Oryzias latipes: one gene and its partner. The protein of the gene in region 1 purifies or fractionates together with the protein of each later gene. This does not show direct contact. Links are inferred from orthologs where the notes say so. Each region holds a gene or a part of one and is shown on either strand. Other genes may lie near its edges.

What was found.
Region 2: the proteins of dock1 (region 1) and engulfment and cell motility protein 1 purify together in Homo sapiens (affinity purification with western blotting; 12 studies listed by BioGRID and IntAct, counting the BioPlex papers as one, with this or other methods). This does not show direct contact. The link is inferred for Oryzias latipes from reciprocal best matches to the Homo sapiens genes DOCK1 and ELMO1.

The regions. Positions count from the first base shown.
Region 1 is NC_019877.2:12,101,277-12,105,104, forward strand, and holds part of dock1 (dedicator of cytokinesis protein 1), read left to right. Parts: intron 1-424; coding exon 425-510; intron 511-1,396; coding exon 1,397-1,553; intron 1,554-2,033; coding exon 2,034-2,074; intron 2,075-2,396; coding exon 2,397-2,487; intron 2,488-3,828. UniProt on the Homo sapiens protein: Involved in cytoskeletal rearrangements required for phagocytosis of apoptotic cells and cell motility. Along with DOCK1, mediates CRK/CRKL regulation of epithelial and endothelial cell spreading and migration on type IV collagen.
Region 2 is NC_019869.2:8,654,673-8,658,500, reverse strand, and holds part of engulfment and cell motility protein 1, read left to right. Parts: intron 1-176; coding exon 177-328; intron 329-505; coding exon 506-584; intron 585-2,423; coding exon 2,424-2,465; intron 2,466-3,350; coding exon 3,351-3,401; intron 3,402-3,611; coding exon 3,612-3,734; intron 3,735-3,828. UniProt on the Homo sapiens protein: Involved in cytoskeletal rearrangements required for phagocytosis of apoptotic cells and cell motility. Acts in association with DOCK1 and CRK. Was initially proposed to be required in complex with DOCK1 to activate Rac Rho small GTPases.

The DNA of each region.
Region 1 (3,828 bases):
AAGTCAGAGTCTTTGTATCTTTTTGGGAAAAACAAAAATGTAAAAGTTTTTTTTTTTTTTTTTTTTTGAACAGAATAAAATCCTCTTTTTCACCTCAGCTAAATAAAAAATAATAAGAAAGGGATTATAAATCACTGTCAGTGCTGACAACATCAATGCAGCTGGAGTAATGCTGGGTCTTGTCATATTGCTTTGTTTAGAGCTTCTCCAAAAAATGTAAACAGGCAAATAAGAACATTCGTAATAATTAAATTTGAAAAAATAAATGTTGAGGCTCCCAGCCAGATGTTCTGCAAGAGACGATCGATTAAAGTTGAAACCTTAGCTTAGCCTAAGTCTAAATGAAGGGTGAGAAGAGGGACGGGGCTAATGAATTGAAAAATTAGCTGCGCTGATTATTTACGCCTGCTCTGTCTAATTGCAGTTTGAGAACGAGATCATCACCAAACTCGATCACGAGGTGGAAGGAGGCCACGGAGACGAACAGTACAAACTCCTCTTCCAGAAAATGTAAGCCCTGATTAGATCATGCTAATTGCAACGTATTAGTCCTCAAAATAACCACAGGTGACATCTTACGGGATCTTTTTTTCCCCCATCACAGTAAATAAGTTACAACAAAAACAAAAACCTAACATTTTCCAAAAGGCCGTGTCACACAGCCACTAAGTACGTTTTGCACGGATGAAAATAGGTCATACATGAATATACAGGGAAAAAGCGTGAAAAGTTGTGGTCTTTACGTGAAATTTTCTAGGATTCGTCAAGAATGAACAAATTCAAAACCATAGAAGATAAATAAACCGATCAAAGAACACATAAATCCATGTAGAACATGAACTGTGTGTGATTGTTGCACTGTTTATTTGCAATTCTTTAGTGATTTGTGCGTCAATTACATAATTTTAACGTGATTTGTGTGCCGTATATGTAATATAAAATTTATACATCAGTTATACAACGATCGTGGAAAGCCACAAATGTGCGTATGCTTCTCGCAAAAATCACACACAATTGTGTAGGGATTATGTAATAATTTCATATAAACTGCAGTACAGACCAAAAGTTTGGACAAACCTTTTCATTCAAACTACTGGTCTGTACTGTATGTTAAATATGCGTAAACTGCGTTATTTCCAACCGATCAAGGATTTTGAACAGGTCAAAACCGATTTCATGTAATGAACGGACGGACATCTATCTGCACTCATTGATGAACTCAAGACAGACTTATGAATTACGTATATCTCGTGTATCAGGAAAGACCAAAATTTCATACATGGAAAATGTGCAAAATGTATGACACAACCTTAAGTCTTTGTCAGGTTTTTGTTTTTTGTGTTAGGTCTCTCAATACATTCTTTCTACCTCTTCTATGTTTTGCAACAAACACCAGTTTGCTGGAGCACTGTCGGAAGCACAAGTACTTGGCAAGAATGGGCGAGCTCTTTGTCAATCTGGTAGTGCGTCTGCTGGAGCGGCTGCTGGACTACAGGACCATCATGCATGACGAGAACAAGGAAAACCGCATGAGCTGTACGGTCAATGTGCTCGTAAGTCAGCTGCTGCCAATTCCACCACACCTGTAACGCACAAATATAAGTTCTCATAATCCGATCTGCTCCCAGACAAAAAAAAAAAAAAGAAAAGAAAAAACTACCTGCACGTGACAGAATGTGTTAAGATGTTATCACAGAGCGGTTAATCTTAGTCAATGCCTTTTTGGGACGAGACATTTTATCTGGTGGTGCCAAAATGCCAGGTTTATCCCACATGATTAAAGGTTTCTAGAAGGCCGCGGACCTGTGGCTTTGTAGTTAGCATTTGTTTGAGCCGTGCTCTATCAGTGCCTGTATCTTAACATTTACCCAAAGCTGTGTTCTATCAAATGTTGCCAGAAAGTCATGTGTTCACCTTTTAGGTGAATTTTATAACAAAAACACCTGCAGTTCATGCATTTAAAGTGGGATCTGAGTGTTACAGGATGGTGTTCTGGAGAGGTTTAAATGTTTTTTTCTTCTTCTTTGCTGTAGAACTTTTACAAGGAGATAGACAGAGAAGAAATGTACATCAGGTAAGACCCATTCCAGAATTTCCCTCCAACTAAAATCCATCCCCTTGAGGCATTTAATAAAACACCAAGGTATATTACATGGAGAACATTAATCCTCTTTTATTCTTGTAATTCCCTGGAGCTCCATTTTTTTAAAAATATGCCTCCTCTTTCAAATTACAACAGTGTGAGTTTTTTTTTTCCTTCCCCTGCTGTCTGTCAAGTTTTGTTGAAGTGAAACAATAAGGAGGCCTTTGTCGTTTTATTGAAGCAGAAAGAAAGGTGTTGGTTAAGTGTGAAAAGCATTCTTCCATATGAATCTAAAAGCATTGCTTCCTGTCAGATACCTGTACAAGCTGTGCGACTTACACAGAGAGTGTGACAACTACACAGAGGCTGCTTACACCTTGCTGCTACATGCAAAACTACTCAAGGTAAGCAGACACGACACACTAACAAGCCGTATCTGCTCAGATTTTCCACAAAACCACTGCAAAGCACGCAGCATTTAACCTTAAGCATCAATAAAAGTCATTTTAATGTGTTTGAAGTAAAAGAAATGTTAAGCAGGGTCAATAATAATATACATTTTCCAAACTTGTCTAGTTATAAAATAAAAAAACAAAATAGGAATTATTATAGTCAAAGCAGAGCTTTAAATCTAAATAATCTACATCATCTCTGTTTTATTGCTTCATGGTGATGAGAGGCTTATTTTCTCCTGATCATTTCAGTTAGAAACATGTAGATAAATAGGTTATCAAGAAGCTCATCATCCTTTGTTGAAAATACACCGCACAATTTCTCACGCAATTTGGAGACCCGGTTGGGACTTTGCTAAGCCGGTATATTTTTGTGTCGATCCTTTGCACCTTTCTGGCAAATTATATCACCCCAAAACTCATCTGGGTTTGCATAAATAGGTGTATTCATCAGCCTTCAAATTGGGATTTCAGAAAATAAAAAATAAAAAACAGGCTGTGACTGAATCCCATTTTGCTGGCTGACTAATCACAGTTTCATCTGCGGGAGTCCGTTTTATTACTTTGAATCTACTTGTGATTTAGCATCTGTTTTCTTACTGATTACAGCAAACAAAAAGAAAGAGATTCCATTTATGTGTGGAAGTTTGTACATTTTGATTAACCATTTCGTTCATGCTTTTAGATAAACTGAGGGTAACTGCCCGTAAAGTAGTATATGATGTAAAACTTACATCTGATAAATAATTGGTTTTCTTAAGAAAACTAGCATCAGTGCTAATATGATTACCAAACATTCGAAAGTGCAATTCGGCGGGGGTGTCCAGTTCCAGTTTCAGTGTCAAGTCAACGTACAGATGCGATCAGAGGTCTTGCAGAGGGTTTTGAGCATCAGGCGTGGCGGTCCTGGATATATATAAATAAAGAAAACTCTCTGAATGAGAAGGTGTGTCCAAACTTTTGGTCTTTTTTTTTTTTGCATCAAGACAATAATAAAAAGTTTCTCTTATTTTATTCTTATTTTAATTTTTTTTCCTCCTTGGACTGGTACCGGACATCACATTGTAGAAGTGGGTCACAGAGGGACGGAAGTACCGCTGGAAGCGTCCATCATTAGGACGCAGGTCTTGCAGTAGATGGTGAACCTCATCATACTGGGAGAGTCATTGAATGATCTCATGAACCCAGACATGGAGACATGATTACTGATGCCTTTGTAGAGCTTTGCAAAATAAATAAACCTGATCCTCTCAACTTCATCCACGTCTTCTATGCAGTGACTCTATATGAGAT
Region 2 (3,828 bases), on another chromosome or scaffold:
CTGGTATGCAATGGAGGAAGGGTCCTTAAGTCCAATTCTGTTAAACAGCCAATGGTTTTTACCTGTTAAATCATTTAAGTTGACTCACTTATTATTTGTTATGCTAGGTGTTTAACCTTTTTCAGTGATTAATATTATTATCATTTAGGATATATTTCCTGCTTTCTTTTGTGCAGATTGCCAGCTTTGTGAACAAGTCGGCCATGGACACGGCAGTGTTGCAGCGCTCCCTGGCCATCCTAGAGTCCATGGTGCTCAACAGTCAGGATCTTTACCACAAGGTGGCGCAAGAAATCACCATTGGACAGCTCATTCCTCATCTCCAGGGGTAAGTAGATGGAGTAACCATTACTTGTCCTTACTTTAAAAAAATTGTTTTTTTAATGTATTTTATATTTCCTGGTTTTAATAATGTTGCTTTGTCTTCTCTTAACTATTCTGAGCTGTTTTATAAATCTTGTCTTTAATATGTTTCTTTTGGGGGGGTTGGGGTTGTGGATTGCAGGACTGACCAGGACATTCAGACTTATACGGTTGCTGTGATCAATGCACTGTTCCTCAAAGCCCCAGAGGAGAAGAGACAGGTGAGGTTAAAGTGTTCATGTTTAGCATATCTACCCTGTACTATCAGTTCATATGGCAATCAGCGGTGTCCTTCTCTGTTATGTTGAAATTTTATAGATAGATGGATAGATGGATAGATGGATGGATGGATGGATATTTGGTCTGTAAATGACTCAATCTATGCAAGTAATAAGATTTTTGTTTTTATGGGAAAGGTGATAATTGGGATGGTTGCCTGTCATTTACAACAAGCCTGTTGCTGACCACGTTATCGCTTACGTCAGAGCCACAACGCTCAACGATGTACTCATTTGTAACAATTGGTGGTAATAATCATTTTTTGTGCAACTCGACCATTCATAAAGTTAATATTCTGACTACTAAGTACAACAGAGCAAAGAAAGTATTTGGCAGTCCCCAAACTTAAAAGTCATCCTCTTAAAATTAGGTGAGATCTGTAAAGTTGATCATAGATACGTTTTATTTGTGAGAGACGGAATGGATTAAAAAAAGAAACATGGAAATCCCATAAATGATTCTTAATTCATTTATTAGTTCAAGGGTTCAGGAAATAAGTATTTGGTCATTAACAAAAGTATACGGTACTTTAATACTTAATATAAATGGCAATGCCAGACAAGACAACCTTGAAATGTTTTTTTACACTACCACTCTTTTGTTGCCCAGGCAGTGTTTGGGATCATTGTCACGCTGGAAGATCCAACCATGTTTTTTTCCTATGGTTCTCACTGATGGAAAGAGGATTTTGTCCAAAATCTCACCATACATGGCCCCATTCATCTCTTCCATAATCATCCTGTCCCCTTTGCAGAAACATAACCCAATCGCATGATGCTTCCACCCCCATGCTTCAAAGTGGTGTTCTTGGGATCCAACTCAGCATTCTTTCCCTCAAAAAAAAGTAAAAGTCAGATTTTTAACAGAGTTCCATTTTGGATCCTTGATATCCTACCAATTGTCCTAGGAATCATCCTGGTGGTCTCTGGCAAACTTTAAAAAGGCTTGGGAATGTGCTGTTCTCAAACTAGAGGACCTTTGAGCCCTGCAGGACTGTAACCATGACATTGTTGTACATTACTATTAGCAACCTTTTTGTCTGAGGTCAAAGCCCTCTCTAGGCCATTGACCAGTTCCCCCCATGTAGTGCTGGACTGTTTCTTCACATTTCCCAAGATTCCACAAAGTGAGATCTTACATGGAACCCCAAATTGAGGGAAATTGTCACTGAATGATGCTTTTTTTCCATATTCTATTCTCACCAAGCTTCTTGCTCACCTGCTTACTTATTTAAAGTATGATGGTGTCTGCGTTTGGCTTTTTTTACTCTGTTTTTTTTTTCTCTTCTCGTTTTCATCACTTACATCTTTATATCAGTCCCAGGTCAAGCACCTCTGCTGTACAACCATACAATCAAAGAACTTACCGGTAGGTTTGGTACAAAGTGACTATGGAAAATCCTTTGGCACTTGGGAGGACTACAAACAAATTTTCTCCATTACCATTTGTGTTCCTCCTCCTCATCTAAATATAGGTTCTTCGGGCCATCTGGCACTGGTAAATGTAAGAAAAAAATCTCAGAGAAGAGGTATCAAAGTTGGTGTACAAGTGGAAAGCCGTCATGTTCATTATGATGTGGGTCAATTTGGCAACTGCCAAATACTTTTTGCCCCACTGTTTTGCTGAAAATGCCATCCACTCTTTGTCCCAAGCACCAAAACAATCAGATCTTGAATCCGTTTTTTCCTGACATCATTTCAAACTTTTTTTGGACCACTACATTCACTCAACTTACCCTCTTTGTCTCTGACCTTGTCTCTTCACTGCACACGACATGGTAGTATGATGAGCACATTGTGGACATCCTAGACTGTCCTCTGACAGTAAGTGCACCCTTGACTAGCACACTCTGTAGTTTGCATTGTAGAAGTCGAGAGTTTGTTTATTTAATTCCTGTATTTAAATTTTTTTTTTTTAGACGATTTTCTAACATACCATGTTTTTTCGGACCATAATGCGCGTTTAAACTATTTCACACTTCTCAAAAATTGACAGATCGCCATATAATCCCATACATCTAATGTATTAATTTTAGTTTTATCTGATACACGCCACTCAAAAATCCTTCAGGTACGACTGTGGTTGGCTACGATACTGCACGCTTGGATGGAATGGCTAAGTCTTATGGCTACCATAATAAGGGGCCTTGCTTTATCATAATGAACTGAAAACATAAGTATATTGTTTGTATTTTATGTGTTCCAACCAATTAATGTCAAGTTATTGTGAAGTAGTTCAATAAAGTTGAAGTATATGTTGCAAATACCTAGATATTGCAGATAAAACAGGCACAAATGGATGACAACAGTTTCCTAGAATATTGAAGTTATTTACAGACATAGACTCCTCTGACCAATACCCTGCTGCCTTTTGCAGTCCTTAGGAATTCTGGGTAGTGTAGTAAACCACATTATACCACAGTTTTGTTTTACTTTATGTGTGGAAATAGGCCATTGATATTGCACCTTATGGTCCGAAAAGAACGGTCTTTTGTTTTTCTAGCCTTTACATGCACACTTGATAGTGTGCCGCAGGCCTTTTCGTTTGCCTTGCTTGTCTAAAGTTTAGCGTAGAGAATCCCCAAATCTCAATTTTTTACCTCAACATATTTATGATCTTACATCATTGTTTTTCTTGTTACCCCCCACCTTTTATTAAATTTCTTTATTTTTTGTCTCTTTCTTCTTCTTTTTCGTCTCTTTCTACAGGAGATGGCCCACATTCTGGCCCAAAAGCAGCTGCGCTCCATCATTCTTACTGTAAGTTCATTTTTATTAGCCGTTGTTTAAACTCGAAGAACAGCATGTTTTACCTTTAAAATGACACTCTTAAATATTCTTACTTACACACCTGTGTCTACTATTTTGCTTCATTTGCTTCCCTATCTGTATATTCCACAAAAATCCTTGACTTCCCTTTTCTTCTGACCTTTTTTCATGCTTACTAAACTAGTTTACCATTTTGTGCAGAATGTGATCCGTAATCCCACACCCATCAATGATGAGATGGCACACCAGCTATATGTGCTGCAGGTGCTCACTTTCAACTTGCTGGAAGACCGGATGATGACCAAGATGGATCCCCAGGACCAGGTCAGTAAAAACTAGTGCTTTGTTATACAAATAAAACTTGGTAGATGTGTTTTTTTTTTTTATTCTAAATATGCAAATTCCAAAAGCTATGTGA